2 linked regions of the Lytechinus pictus genome follow. The protein of the gene in region 2 interacts with the protein of the main gene of each other region in a biochemical or structural test. Links are inferred from orthologs where the notes say so. Each region holds a gene or a part of one and is shown on either strand. Other genes may lie near its edges.

What was found.
Region 1: the proteins of nuclear pore complex protein Nup155-like (region 2) and mRNA export factor GLE1-like form a complex in vitro, tested with the Homo sapiens proteins (2 studies listed by BioGRID). The link is inferred for Lytechinus pictus from reciprocal best matches to the Homo sapiens genes NUP155 and GLE1.

What each region holds. Positions count from the first base shown.
Region 1 is NC_087246.1:15,032,347-15,040,978, forward strand, and holds the start of mRNA export factor GLE1-like, read right to left. Parts: upstream 3,294-8,632; 5' UTR 3,126-3,293; coding exon 3,036-3,125; intron 1-3,035. UniProt on the Homo sapiens protein: Required for the export of mRNAs containing poly(A) tails from the nucleus into the cytoplasm. May be involved in the terminal step of the mRNA transport through the nuclear pore complex (NPC).
Region 2 is NC_087255.1:30,622,809-30,631,271, reverse strand, and holds the start of nuclear pore complex protein Nup155-like, read left to right. Parts: upstream 1-5,099; 5' UTR 5,100-5,211; coding exon 5,212-5,217; intron 5,218-8,463.

The sequences.
Region 1 (8,632 bases), on a different chromosome or scaffold from region 2:
GCTTCTGGCTTCAATTCTGCGGCTGTTCCTGTCGCGGTAGACAACTACATATGCAACTTTATTTATAAATAGAGCGCCCCTTACGATAGTTGTTAAGAGCGCGGCCAAATTGTTAGGTTTTTTGCACTGTGTCCAAGGCGTTTTTATTTTGTTTGATTTTTTATTTTTAATAGATATTTTGTTAAATAGCGATTTTTACGTCAAATATTAAATTCATATCACAAAATATTTTTAATTGTAGAAATATATATAATATCATGCAATTATTCATTCTATATATATTTTATAATAAAATTTATTATTGTCAGTAGAGGCGCACGGCCAATATTGGAGACTGTCTCCAATGTGGGAGATTATCTCCAATATCAGAGACTTTTGTAAAGAATTTGGGTATCCAATTTCAGAGACAGTCTCCAGTTTTGGAGTCCAATTTCCTTTGTTTACATTTGCTGCAAAAGGATTAACTTGGCGGCAAATAAAAATGTGATAAGCAGATTCCTCATGAAAAATTACCCCTTTTCACCGTCTACTTTAAAAATTCACCGTCTACTTTTGTTTTGATAAGGATTTTTGTTGTCAATCATACACAAAACAAATGGGCTTCTGACCTCAGTGAGACAAAATTTTGGGTGGAAAAAATCATGCTTTTGTTGGTGTTGTTTCTTTTGTCCTTTTGCAAAGCAAGTCTCCAATGTGGGAGATTGTCTCCCCTATTGGAGAGAGTCTCCCATATTGGCCGTGCGCCTCTACTGATTGTTGCGGTCTTTAAAAAAGGATAGTCGATTGATCAGGTGATGACCACACGTATCACGTGATCTGAAAATTAGCTTCATACCGCTTTGATCGCACTCGACGGTGACCGGACTGACTGCCAAAAAAAGATCGAAAAATGACTCGAATGTAAGTTTCCCTTTATTTTATTAAATTCAAATTAGGAATAGGAATATATTTAATGGGCAATCTTTTAATAAATGACAAACAAACGAGGACAAAACTCATATTTTGGGAGTAATATCATACTTGGGTGCAGGAAACAGTACGTTTAGAAGTTCTAACCTGTTTTTAACGCATTGTCGCCTATGAGGTCCATACGGGGTCCGGACAGCCCGACCACCGGACAGCCCGACCCTGGACAGCCCGACCCGCTACCCTGGACAACTCGTCCCGGTCGAGTTGTCCAGGGTTGGCTCTGAATCGGACAACTCGACCACTTGAATTCTTCTTCAACATTTCATGAAATAATATTTCAAACTTTGATATGCCTGCATGAAGTGCACAAAAATTGCTTTATTGTATCTAAAAAGCTGTATTTACCTCATCGATCAAGGGACTGCCGCTCTGATGCCCAATTAGTCATTGGAACTCGGTATTATTTCTGCTCGTGAAAGAAATGGAAAGACCATCGCATGTCGAGTATGAAACCTCTTCTCCTCATCCCGGGTGTAGGTGGTTGGTACCAGCCCAAGTGCTGGTATCCTCCAGAAGACCCGTTGTTTCCAATGGAAGTTGCATTAAAAAAAAGTTGTGACAGTACAAACCGACAGGTAAAAAATGAGACACATGTTTTTCGATAACGAAAGGCAAGTTTTAGATTTTGATTAAAATTTTTTAAGTTTTTGAATTTCGGCAGAATACATTTCTTTTTTCAATAAACTATTCCGTTTTGATATCAAAACTAAGTTTTTAAATTTTGATAATTATAATTACCCAATCTATGTCAGTTGTGCACCCCCATTCTGCTCCTCTAAACTTAGAAAACAATAAAAATTTGTAATACCGCGGTAGTTATTTAAGAACAAAAATAAACAATAAAGAGTAAAAAAGACACTTTCCTACAAAAAATTGTAAACTTCATAACTTACATACTGACACATTTTCAAATCTATTTCCTTAATTTGTTTATATGTTGGTTGGAAGCACCCCCCTGGCCTGAAGGCCTCCAAAAAGGGGCGTCAGGGATGGTTTTGGGAAGCACATTCCGACCACGCATTCACTGTCCTATACTCCTATAATCAGCTTAGTGACATTAAAAAAAAACTTTTTAATAAGTGGAAGAAGTGTGAAAATACAAAAATAGCACTCTCGCCATTGGAATATGTCAAGAGACGGAAAAATTTACTAAAATAAGTAAGTTTGACCTCGCATAGCTAGTTGAGCCGAGTGCCACACTCAGTCACAATCACAGCACAGCCGGTCGCCCAGCAGGCCTGCGAGGCGAAGCACCGCATCGGGTGTCCTTTCCAGGTGAACTATCTCAAAAGTTTGCATTAAGTATCAGTTTTGTGAAATGGAATAACTTTAAATAAGTAGAGGAAATGTGAAAATGGAATATGAAAATACAAAATAGCACACCCTCATCATTAAAATATGTCAAGTGACGGAAAAATCAACTCAAATTTGCAGAATTTGAACACAGCTCGCCGGCGGTATCGGATTATCAATTTATCAAGATACCGGTAATCTCGTTGCAAGGGAACTCGCTTTATTTTCTTTCAAAATAGCTCAAAATGCACTGAAATGTCAAATTTTCTGTCGAGAATGTATTGTAGAAACATGGATTATGCGGGGAAATACTTTTGAAGTAAAGTTTGAAATATTATTTCATGAAATGTTGAAGAAGAATTCAAGTGGTCGAGTTGTCCGATTCAGAGCCAACCCTGGACAACTCGACCGGGACGAGTTGTCCAGGGTAGCGGGTCGGGCTGTCCAGGGTCGGGCTGTCCGGTGGTCGGGCTGTCCCGGAACCGGTCCATACATGTTAATGTTTGGACCTCATTGGTAGTAGGAGTGCACACGGCTCCGCGCGGCCCGCAGCTTTGATTTAGGCCCCTAGTACATATTAGTAGTTTTAGAGTAGATCTAGTCAGTAGAAGCTAAAACCCTCGATCTAACATTACAAACATGACAAAGAAAACAACTGATGGGACCACGTTTAGAGTAGATCTTGTCAGTAGAACTAGAAGCTAAAACCCTCGATCTAACATTACAAACATGACAAAGAAAACAACTGATGGGACCACGTAAATAAAACAAACCTCTACACGTCCATCTTCGAGCCAATATTTGTCGTATATAAGGTTCCCCTTCTTGGAAGTTCGAAGTGCTTCAAGAGTCGAAGTCGCCATACTTAAACATTGAAGAGTTATGCTTGAAATAAACAATTATTTCAGCTCCGAGTCGTCAGATAAGCAGTCATTCGGTACCACTACACGGCGCCTCGGATCGGAAAAAGATAAGTGAAGAGATAACAGACAGAGCCAGCGATCGAGCGTACAATGCGCGCGCATGTGTGTGTCCCTTGCTAGCTCAGCTGCCTATACTATAGATACATCTTCAGATTTCTGTATCTCATCATAAAGCTTTTTCATTGAGAATCATGTACACATACAATTCATCTTTCATTGTGAAAACGTAAATTTTACTGATTTTTTTAAACAAAATTAATCCAGTGTGCACACACTTCTTCAACGTCACTTAAAAAAATGCCGCAAGACAACCCACATGCTGGCCGGGTCACTTTACGGTTCCTCGCTTTTGAGTTTTTTCAAAAATGTTTATATGCCTCTGCCCCCCCCCCCCCCCCAGGATAAAAATCTGTGTACGGCCATGTATCTACCCGAACCCACCTTCCCAAGGTCACTCAATTTGCTCATATCAACCCCCCCCCCCTAATTTTATTTGTCACAAGAATACCTCTTTACCCTCTTATATAAAATCATCTGCAATGTACTGTAATCTTGATCAATGCTGGTCCAGGTATTGTGCAGAGCATCATATCAAGCATATATTTATTTATTTTTTAAAGGTCAAGTCCCGCACCCCCAAAAAAGTTGATTTGAATCAAGACAGAAACATCAAACAAGCATAACACTGACAATTCCATCAAAATTTGATGTTAAATAAGAAAGTTATGACATTTAAAAGTTTTGTTTATTTTTTATGATGTCCCACACTCACTAATGGGTCTATTCCTTTTTTTCTCCCACTGCATTTCCTCTTTTCTCTTTTTTCTTCTGAATATCCTTCTCAGCTCTGTTTCTCAGTGTAATTAAGTGCATGAATATCCACAGTCATGCTAGCTACTGTATTAAGAAAAGCCCCACGTCTTTGGGCCTTCCTTTAGTACCTTCCTTTTAAGTAAAAAATATCAAAATTATCATCATCATCAGCCACTGCCTTTTCACAATCATAGAGATGAACTCAAAACTCTGTACAATATGATACACAAACTATACATATAGCTACATCATTTACTTTAATGAACTCTGTGCCTAATTCTGTTCAAGGAGACCTCTGTCACTTTATAAAGAGAAGATATAAAAATGCGTAGAACCTACATGATATGAACACACAATCAAAACTATTAAAAACACAACTTTTATATAAAATGTATATTACACTGAACACAGTCATAAAGAGTTTTATATCTCTCAACCACTAAATTACAATTTACATTTCAGTTGTTGGTTAAAATCCAATAAAGTCTTCCATTCTATATACATATACACTGTCCTGGGTCCCGTAACACAAAGAGTTGCGATTATCGTACACTTGATTTTTACGATTGATTGTACTACAAGTAGTCAATGCAATCAAACGTAGAAAAATGTTCTATGAACATTGCCAAGCTTTGTGTTACGGGCCCCTGGTATAAATTTCAAAAGTGGTCATGAAACTATTTATAGCCAGAAAACCGTTCTCTCACTTTAACTATTTTATGTCATCAAATGATTTCTAAGAATATCAAGTGATGTTATTGTCACTTTTAAAAAATATATACTATTCCCCTTCCGCCAAAGGCTTTTATAATCACAATTGATGCCAATAACAACACCGTACATGTATACCTATTCATTTATCATTTGAAATTTGCCATTTATAATGTGGTGTATAATTACACAAGTGAAAATCTTTTAAAGGAGAATGAAACCCTTGGAACCAGCTGAATCCATATCAAAGAGAAAAATCAAAGAAACTTATTGTTGAAAGTTTGAGGAAGATTGAATGAATAATAAGAAAGTTATGAGCATTTGAATATTGAGATCACTAATGCCATGTAGATCCTCGCATTGGCAATGCGACCAAGATCTGTGATGTCACACACGTACAACTCCCTCATTACTTTAGTACTTATTTCACTTATATTCTCACTTTTATAGAGTCTATCACAAGGTGAGGTGTTCTCTTTATATATGGGAGGACAATTACAGAGGTTTCACAACATTATATCATTGATGAATCGTTTGTCATATGATTAGAATGAGCAAAAAGAGATGTTTTGGGGTATATTTTCAGTGTCCAAAAGGGGAGAGTTGTTCATCTGTGACATCATAGATCTTGGTCGCATTGCCAATGGGAGGATCTCCATAGCATTAGTGATCTCGACATTCAAACGCTCATAACTCTTCTATTGCTAGTCCTATTTTACTCAAACTTTTGTTGATCTTATTCTTTGATTTTTCTGCTTTCACAAAAGCTAACTTGCTCCAAGAGTTTCATTCTCCTTTAAGGTTATATACCAAATAAGGCTATCATGGAGGGAAATGCAAAGTTACATTTTTAGGAGTCACTCTCTGTGCTTTATGCCCAGAATATTCAAATGCATTTTTACCAAGTGAACAAATGTACATGTTCTCCCCCAGTGTCATTTTATGTGAACATGTGACCTGCCCCCTTATCCCTTTAAAACCAAGCATATTAAAATGCAGTCATATAGTGTGAAAGAAATTACACCCAAAAAACTTTGTTAGTCCTTACAATGAACATGCTTTGATATACTTTAAACCAACTTGCAAACAGTATTTTAAGTGAATTATAAGTTTCCATGCAGTCCAATCTTTGTGTATTACCGTATTTAGAAAATGTGATAGTTCTAATAGCATGTGAAATTGAAGATAAACCTATTGGCCACAACAAGACATCTGCATAAGGGAACTTACTATGATTTTAATAAGTGAACCAAATGAATTACGAGTTTGATCATTACGTCGAGTTAAATACTGTTTTTTCCTTGAAAGAAAATATATATTCCAAAATTCCCACAAACATAACCAAATGTATTATCTAAAAAAAAAATTAAGGTACATTAATCAACACAGGAGCTAGTGCATTATTGTGCACTATCTAAAAATTGTTGCATGTCACATGATGCATATTCCATCAATCACAGCAATTACGATCAATCATTTTTCTATACATGTATAAACAATGCACTGAATATTAGCTACCACAGTAATCACCACTACCTACATGTATCACATTTTCTCCACTCATATTTGCATAAGATCTCTACGAGGCATAATTACTTGCATAGAAATGAATTTCAAAAGGTCCATAGCAGGGCTGTATTCAACTTGTGACACAACCAAGTTTTCAAGTAAAGCTATAAGCAAGTCAGCATCAAACTACAAAAAAGAAATGATAGAGATGATAGAATATTCATGTATTTCAAAAGCTGTTTACATATTGTTTGCCATTTCCAAATATTTGAACGTGATGAGTAAAGTTGGATGCCCTGATTCCCCCCCCCCCAATTTGAATTAAAGTAAGCTGGAAAATGGTGGGGTGTGATATACTAAGATATATAGGAGTGCGATTTCTTGTTTGCTAAAATTCCCAAAACATAGATCGTTAACATTGAAATTAACCACTAATTTGACTCATTATCCTAGATGTCTTGCCAAGACTCATCACAAGAGCAAACCTTTTTCTTCCAATAAAAAGCCCAACTATCTAATATCAGGTAAACTTTTCGGCCTCTCCCCCCCCCCCCCCCCTGCATAATCACTCCCTTGAAGACATGTCTAGACTTTTATACCAAGCCAATCACATAAGGATGTGTGCCAGTCCCAACATCAAGGTGGGATTTGTATTTGCAATATAAAATATTAAAAAATAAAATTATCAAGGTATTGGGGGTAACAAAATATACCATCTTTTAAAACTAAAATCCAAACAAAATCATGCAGGTATTTTAGGCATAATAATGGGCCACAGAATACTAGTATACCATCATTCTTGTCAAATCCTGACCATAGTGCTTCCAACTATATAACACAAAGTATTGCTCATCTTCTGTCAGTGAAATAGAAAATTTATCACAACCAATCCTATCTTTTTATTTCTTTCATTGTGAAGCAAAAAACCTTTGAAATGGTTCATCTAAGTTTAAATATTGCATTGCATGTCAAAGAAGCATGCTTAAAAAATATATAAAATGAACATGCCAACTTATCCAAAACCAAAAGTAAAAAAAATAATTACCACACATTTTATGACTTACATTTTTTTTAAAAGCCTGTTTGTTATTTCTTCTTTTTTACAGAGGAATTCCATGACTGTTTATTAGTCAAACATACATATTCAGCGTTATTGTATCCTTTATCATCAGATACTTTGAAATAATCAAGTTCAGATGCCTCTATAAAGTCCACCTATCACATTTTGTACATTGCATTCTACACTTTTAGAAAGATACAATATGTCATATAATATAATCTTATGAATGTATAAAGAGTCTTTACCTACATTTATAAGTTATTACTTTCACTCTTAGACGGTTAAACATTCTTTTTTTTTTATTTAACCTTTTTATATAAACAAGATCTATCTTCTTTTTTTTTATTCAAGGTGCAATACAATGGCACTTTTGAGTCACTAACAAATTGCATAAACTTTTCATCTTCTAAACTAAAATAATCCACCATGATAACAAATAAGAATATATTGTAAGTGTAAAGAGAATGTGAATGAGAGGTAGAATACAATAATTCCTATGGTGTCTAGATTAATTAATCCTTGGGATCCTATTGGAATGTACTGGCAGATGAAATTTTGAAATATGAAGACGTCATTCCAAAGGTACAATAGTCATCTTCGCACTTGAGAGAAAAACACATTTGTTTACCATAGAGGTTTATAAAATGTAAAAGCATCTGTAGAAAAGTGAGTGACAGAATATTTATTTTCCCATGGTTTCTCTCAAAATTGAGGTTAAAACTTCAGCATTTATCACAACAGACACATTTTTAACACTGTATATACTTTGAGAAATTAAAAAAAAAGTGTGATTATTAGTAAATTAAGTTAGATGTAAGAAGAATGTCTAGTTCAGTTGTTATAAGAATAAAAACTTCTTCAGGCCAAGTTTCATTAGAAAGCAAGTGATTTCACATGATATTCTAGACTTTTCAGTACTTCTCATGATAAATTATTATCCACTAAAAATCACAGAGGCACTGTCTGTTAGAAATAAGACACATGTTTAGTTTTATAAGTTCTGAAAACTGAACTTAAGTTTACTAGTGACAAACTTGGAACTTGATTTTGATAAATTTAATGATACTTGCTGATGACAAGTACTTCAATCCACAAAAATTAAATTTAGCTGATGGAAATCAAACTATTCAAGGATCTGATTCATCTCCCACATCTGCCACTTAAACAACTTTCACTTATTCTGTATCCTCTAGGAATACAGTGTTCTTAGCAAATCCATGTGTGAATTTTTGACAGTAATTAAGATTTTCTTCAGTTTAACAGGATAATTTTGAGGTTTTGATATAACTAGATAATTAAATCACTGTTTCATATTTTCCATTCCCTGATAAGTTTGAACCAAAATAAAATGTGC
Region 2 (8,463 bases):
GGCACCGTGTGGAAAATTGTTCATACGCCACCCTTTGTGCATACCCAACTTGATATTTTTTAATATGACAAAAGCTATCACAAAATTCAATTTTCATTCTAAAATAGTCAATATTTTGTGACGTTTTGAAAATTTTGTGTCATTCATTTAGGCCATGTTGTGCCCCCTTAACTTTTTTTGGCTCATTACACCACTGATTTCTGTTATAAATTGTGTAATATATATACATATTGTATTTTGATCTCAGCTATCAATAATCTATCTTTTCTTTAGTCTTGAAATTTATGAAAACAGCACCTGCATACACATGTATAAAGTTTAGTTTGTCTCAATATGTACTACTGCTAGTTATAATATTATGTTTTGTATGTCCAATTTACAGCGTAGGGAATACATGATGGCGACGGGCGATTTTGCCCTCATAACAGCCCTAATTGCCCCTAATATTCCCCCAAATACATGCTTTGGGGTAACCATTCTTTCTATAGACGCCCCAAGATCTGTTCCAAAGAATATTTAAGATTGATTTAAAAATCAACATTCTAACTGGCAGAAGAATAATATTTGCTTTTACTGCACTATTCGGCCCCTGGTTATAAGTGGTTTGGGTTAACTGCCCATTCCATCTAATTACTATTGTCACGTTATTCAATTATGGTTTATTATGTGGCAGTCACGGGCCACCTTTCATCATTTATGATGGCAACATCAGGCCCAAAGAGCATTGTACCCCCAAAAATAGTTTTTACCCCTGAAAGTAGCCCTTCAAATGAAAGTAAAGCCCAAAAAATTATGAAATCACTCCAATGTGAAAAATAAAAATAGTCCTTAAAAATAGAATTGATTTCTTAGTCTGCCAAATTATCTTTGTCTTCTTTGTGTCACTTTATACAGTAGCAGATCTAGGTGGGGGCATAATTGACCTAAAACCCTCCTTATTTTGATAATCAACCATTGACTATACATATTAATGTAGCTAGGAAAATTTTGATCTGCACACCCTCTATTTTTAAATTTGCTCTTTGCATTCCCCTCCAATTCAAAATATATAATCTGCCACTGCGTTTTATTGTTTTATTATCGACCCCCCATATGGTCAAAAGAAATGGAAGTACAAATTCAAGTATATGTATAAATGATGTTTATTAATTAGCTGTTTGAAAATGTGCTGGTTGCTCAGTATCATTCCAGTGATCCATTTCATAAAACTTTAAAATAACTAATAGTCAACTTGTTATAGAATTTGTGCATTTGTTATTACAAGAACTCTGTATGAATCGGGACCAAAAACCCTGTAACATGAAAGATTAAAATCAATTGTAAAATCCATTATCATTTCAACTCTATGGCAAATCAAGTACAAAAATATTACAATTGATTGTAAATATATTGATTGTGATTCCTTATGTTACAAGTCACAGATATTTAACATACTTTATATGTAAATTAAAATATATATTTCTGCTCATGATGAAATATACTTGAATTGTTAAAAATGCTGCATGTGTAAAATGTTTAAAATATTTTTGGTTAGATGGTCATCTTGATTATGAATATCGTTAGAAGAAGGATAAAATTGATGATGTGATGAGAGTGTAGGGTATAATTTTATATCAACAACTCATGGTTTCAGAGTTTAGAGAATATATGTCTGGAGATAATTGAGCAATAATTGGCAGCGTTGACTGAAGCTTGATATTTTATTGAATATCTCTTTAACCTTTTGCATCTTAGAATATACTTGTTACTAAAATGTGAAATGTGAAATTTATTTATTTCAATACTCATGCACTTTAAGTTCAAGTTAGTCAATTCATCTTTTTTCTTACCTACAGGTGCTTTTGTAATTTTTTTCTCAATGTTTTTCCATTACTGTGTGAATCTGTTTTACAAAAAAAATATTCTGTCAACTTTATTATTGTGTAAATAGTGTGAGTGATATAACTTCACATAAGTATGTATGTCTAACCAGATAGAAAGAGATTTAACCTAATGCCATGGACAATAAAGAAACCGAAATATATAATTTGAACAATATACTAAAAGCTCATTGTAATTTATATTTATAACTGCCTTGCCATTTGTCATTTGTTTATGCCATGGTCATGCTTTTTGTATATCAGATTTTCTTTTATGCCTATTAATATTGGTATCCATAGACACCTGTCCCAATACCCGTTGTATACCTCGCTATTGCTGCAATATTTCAACATGATTAATTATATGAATGCATGGTGTTATACTATAAAAGTTTGTGATCTTTGTGTCAAGCCTCTCTCGTATTTTTATTGTAAACCCTCACATTTAGGAATTTGTATATGTCTTAGACTGTTACAATGTGGATGATATTGAATTCTATTGGCTGAAATGAATGTTTATTCATTTATTATCATTATTGTTGTTATTGTTATCATTATATAAATTATGATAATTATTATTATTTTCATTATTATTATCATTATTATTATTATTGTTATTATTATTTTAATGAGACTTTAACTTTTGGTTATTACATATATATTTTAAAAAGAAAACACAAACAAAACTATTTTTTAACATTTCATTCTAAGGACCAAGCATCTCCCTTGCCATTCTGATTTTTTTTTCCTACTTGAAATTCAGAAGATATTTGTTTGTTTTATTTTTCGCCATGCATAACAAAAATAAATTGACAGAATATAGTGTTACATTGATAATGATACATAGTAGGAACTAAGTATAAACAAAATATGTTCGAAGCACAGAGTCCCTTAAGTAACAAAGGTACGTAATTCTATTGAATTAAAACATGGCTCGAAATAAAAACTAAATTAAAAATATATGTATATATTTCTTTAAATTATCCTGCTATTTTATTTATGTCAATTAAATGTAGTATGAGGTATATGACCTTTGCATTGTTGATTGATAAACGACATTGGACTTTGCAGAAAGAAGTAAGTGATGTGCATCAATTATGATCCAATAGTGACCAAACAACAGGCATGTAAATCTGAAATGTACCAGTTTGTAAATACTAGTATATGTAACATGGCAAATTTTTAGCTGTCAAATTATGGATAGAGAAAATATATGTAGCAAGAATGAACTTTGAGAATGTCTTCTACTGACTTATTTGTATTGTAGCGAGAGAGGGTTGGTACAAGCGATGGAAAAGATACTTGGGGGAATGGATGAGGGAACAAGGGGCCGTCAAGGAGGGAGATAGCTGTAGCTGGGGGGGATGGTACATATACTTGATGAGATGTATAAAGGGAGGATAGATAGGGAGAGAAAAGAACTTTATGAGATGTAGACCCAGCATCAGAGAGAGAAGGGGGTGGGGGTCGAGAGTTATTGACTTTGGGTGAAAGGAGCGAGCGAGATGAAGATGTGAGAGGCATTAATATCGGCAAATTTCTGTTGCACATTAATTAGATAGAATGTCTGGAATGCCATAATTTCTTGAGTATTGATTTCTGTGATTTTGATAAATAAACAGTCACAATTACTTGTTTAAATTTTTTCCATCCTTTTATCACTCTGTTGCTGGAATGAATAAAAACTTAAAAATAGGCATTATTTATACTTACAGGCAGGCATGGAGTATTTTTGATAAGATCAATTTATTTTACAAATGCCAAGTTTACAAAGAATGCAGAATGTGAAGTTAAGAAACAAAGGGAGAAAGAATGAACAAGAGTACTGAAAAAGCAAGCTATGTAACTCCCATATTATATACCTCTAGCCTCATTTAGAAAAGTCGGGCCTCGGTCAGGTCGTCTTGCAGATCAAAATACCCTAACGCCCCACCCCTGCACTCAGTCATGACGTGAAAAATGAAATTATTTAAGTAAAAAAAAAAGTCAAATAGCTGGTTAATATATTTAAAAAACTAACAGAAAAAACAACTGCATCATCTTCACATAATCCCCCATCTCCATGACTTATTGCCACTTCTGAAAAAAGGTGTAATTTTGCCTAAATATTTTTCATAACATGCCAAGTCTGATGGTTCTGTGTCCTTTTCATCTAAATCAAATCATAAGTGATTATACACTCCTGTTGAGAGAGTCTAAGTTATCATAAATTTGGGCCCATTTATTTATTTGTCCATCTATTTTTTATTCATGTATTATTTTTCACCTGAAATGGTGATGAAAAAGTGACAATTGGTTTTGCTGTAGGTATTTGTCCCCGAAACTTATACTTCCTAGAAAATAAAATGGGCAGTTGGGTACAATGATAGAGATCGAGGCCTAATTTGTCTTTCCAAGAGCTAAACAACTAGTTACCAATGGTACTGAGAAACCATTCAATTCCTTTACTATCCCAACAACGACATATGGATCAGAAACATGGACAACAACAAAACAACTCGAACAAAAAAATAAGTACATCACAGAGGGCAATAGAGAGAAAATTGCTGAACGTTACGTTACGCTAAGGGACAAAATAAGAAACGCACTGGAAGACAAACAAACCTATCATATGGAAAATGTGAAAGAAGCAAAATGGAGATGGGCAGGACACCAAATGAAAAGGAAAGATGATAAGTGGTCAAAAATGGCCACAGAATCATCAGAATGGATTCCAAGAGACAGGAAAAGATAGAGAAGAAGACAAACGTCTTTGGCGGCGGGACGATGTCACATATATGCTCAGAACAGAAAGTCGTGGAATTTGAAGGATCATGAATAGGGCTACATCCACCTATGGGATGAACTCGGCCTGGTGAGGTAAGGTAAAATGCCTAATTAGAATTTAGCACTATGACTTTGCCTTCCAATGAAAGTTCTGTTTTACCTTTTGACCTCTCAGGCAGTAAACAAAAGCTCAGGGTTACATGATGCGTGTACACCTTTTTTTCGTTCAGTTTTACATATTTGACGTCCCAAATCAGGGCCCCAAAATTACCCCATTGACCCGACCTTGACACCTAATATGGTCAATATGACCATTAGAAAATTGAGAGTTGTTCCTTGTGTTGTCACTGAATACATGGAAACATGTTATTGAAAGAAAGAAAAAAAAAACACGGCAACTGTTTAGAATTTGCAGTATAGTAGCAAGAGAATGATGCAAGTTGTATTTTTTTTCATTTTTTCTAGACGGAGTGCAGTGAAAGACACCATAAGCTTAACGTCGCGTGCACGTTAGCGCCAATTTTCTAAAAAGTAATTTTGATTTTGCACGTTTCTTTGTATCGGAAGGACCTTCGAAATTCAAACTATGGCGGTAAGATCGATAAAATAATTTCCTTGAAGTTTCATTATTAGAAATGAATTAAATTTAGAATGCTTTATAGATGAGTAAATGTTGATTTTATAGATTCATACGGTTACGTGCAGAACCTTTTTGGAGCGGGTGCACTGCGGAAGAAGAGATAACAATGAATGAGCTCCGCCTATGCCGAAGCCGAGGCGGCAAAGCTCCGCTGAGATCGATCGTTGATGCAGTCTCCACGGCTGCGCTAGTGCATTTTAACCCATTTTCGCACCGGCCGACTTCGAGCAAATTTCCCGACCAGTAACTCAAACTAACTGGTCGAAAACTTGGTCACAGTTCAAGGTCAATATGAGACCAAAAGTTTCGGTCTCTGTTAATATGTTGCTTGTTGGTTCAAATCAAAGGTTGTTCCGCTGAACTCTGTTACTGTTAGTGTTGGCTCCACTCACCAAATACAAGACTCAAGAGACCGAAGTTCTACTTCTACTGTCATGACTGTTCTACTTCTAGCTCGATCTGTACAGGGCCAGGCATGCCAGGGGACTCATTGGCCATATGTTTATGTATTAAGTTCGGATAAAACAGGGAAGTGAAGTTGCGCGACAGCCGAAGTAAGTCACTGATTTTTCCCCTTAATTTAAGTTTATTTTGGCATTATCGTGATCCAATTCCCGGTGAATCGGATCCACGGACAATTTTCCACAACGTAAAACATGTCCTACCTGTCTCTACCAACCTCGTACTCGTACTCGTAGTTGTGTGTCACTTGTCTCTTTTCAGTCTCCACTTTATTGGCGTAGCAAATCAGAATTTGCATCATTCTCTATAGACAGCTGGCAGCCGTCTGTTTCGAGGAGTTTTTCAACATTTTTTTTTTTTTAAATTTCTCCTCATACACAGACGGCTCGCTAGCGTGTCGCCACCATTAGGGGAGGTACAATGCAAATTCCCCCCGACGGGGCTCATCGATTTTTGTCTTTATTTCATAAATATATATGAAAATAAATGAACAAATATGCGAATTAATGTTCCCTCTTGGCATTAATTGCCAAAAACGAGGGAAAAATAAAGTCAAAAGGAAAAAAAACAGCGACTTACCTCGGCTGTCGTGTAGCTCCTAGTTCACTCGTTCATCCGAAGTCGATATAACACACAAACATATGCCGTTGGAAGAACTTCCGGGTCAACTGCGTATCAAAACCATTGGCCAATCAGATCATCTCTTTTACGTCGGGTTTATGAATACTAAAATTCTAGATGTTTTTTTTTCATTTTCCTTTATCTCTTTCTCTTTCGTTTTCTCTCTTTTTTGTTTTACTTTTCTTTTTAATTTTTATTTCCCCTTTTTTCTTTTGTTTCTTTAACTGCTCCTTTCTTTCCCCTTCTGTAATGTGTGACGTAAAGGTCATGGGGCGGAGTCTGACTTTCGTCGGCCACTTTTTCATGAATTATTCATTACCAAGATGGCTGCCCACTAGTCCGAGTCGCAAGTGTCAAATTTCAGAGTTAATCCCCTGATTGCCAGTTTTAAAGCGGGAATTTAGGGTAAGAAACTGTCGTTACTTATACATTTTCAGCTATAGGTGCATATGTATGAACTTTTGGTGGAAAATATCGCGGTATCGAGGAGAAAAACAAGAAATTAGCGGTGGCCATTGAGCCCCTGTACAGACGACGGTTTAACTTCGGTCTATGTATTTGGTGAGTGGAGCCAACGTAGTTCAGCGGAACAACCAACATAACAGAGACCGAAGCTTTTGGTCTACATTCTCTATTGCTTTTATATTTCGTAAACTATTACTTTTCATATAAATAAATCAGGATTATATTCATCTTTTTATGTTTCTTACAATATCAAACTTGCTTTATTTCGTCTACGTTTTTACTAAATAAATCAATAAGCCCTATCCCTCTTCAGTCTCCATTGCTTTATTTCGTTGATTCCTAATTTACTAAATAAATCAGAATTGCATCTACTTCTTTTCAATCTCTATTGCTTTATTCAGGATTATATTCATCTTTTTTATGTTTCTCACAATATAAAATTTGCTTTATTTCGTCTACGTTTTTACTAAATAAATCAATAGGCCCTAGGCCTAGATCCCTCTTCAGTCTCCATTGCTTTATTTGTTGATTCCTAATTTACTAAATAAATCAGGATTGCATCTACTATTTTTCAGTCCTTATACTGAGTTATAGCTTTATTTCGTCATACTTTTTATGCTAAATGAATCTCTTTTCATATATATGTTTCTTATTATTTTGCTTTATTTCGTCTATCACGTTTTTACTAAATAAATCGAATTGCATCTCCCTCTTAACAGTCTCCATTGCTTTATTTCGTTAGGTAAAAAGAATGTCTGTATAATTACTCCTCATGATTCAAGTCCCCCCTCTAAAATAAAAAGGCAATTTACCCGTTGATATTCATCTACCCCTCATTTCCCTCCTCTTCAAAACCACTCTGCCACTTTTAGACAGTTTCCTAGAGATGATAAATGAATATATGAAAAAATAACAATCATTAAAATTAATGAAAATCACATTAAAAACACAATTTAACTGTCTAATTACTCATGATCCGAGTCCCCTCCCCGTTTTAAAAACGTCAAATTTCCCATAGGAGGGGACTTGGATAACTAGGAGTACTATTACTCATGATCCAAGTCCCCTCTCCTAAAAATACAAAACGGCAATTAACCCGTTGATATTCATCTACCCCTCATTTCCCTCCTCTTCAAAACCACTCTGCCACTTTTAGACAGTTTCCTAGAGACGATAAATGAATATTTTCGATAATAAAAATCATTAAAATCAATGAAAATCACATTAAATACACTATTTAACTGTCTAATTACTCCTCATGATCCGAGTCCCCTTGCCGTGTTAAGAATGTCCAATTTCTCATAGGAGGGAACTTGGATAACGAGGAGTACTATTACTCGTGATCCAAGTCCCCTCTCTTAAAAATACAAAACGGCAATTAACCCGTTGATATTCATCTACCCCTCATTTCCCTCCTCTTCAAAACCACTCTGCCAATTTTAGACAGTTTCCTAGAGATGATAAATGAATATTTTCGATAATAAGAATCATTAAAATCAATGAAAATCACATTAAAAACACTATTTAACTGTCTAATTAATCCTCGTGATCCGAGTCCCCTTCCCGTGTTAAGACTGTCCAATTTCTCATAGGAGGGGACTTGGATAACGAAGAGTACTATTACTCGTTATCCGAGTCCCCTTCTATGGG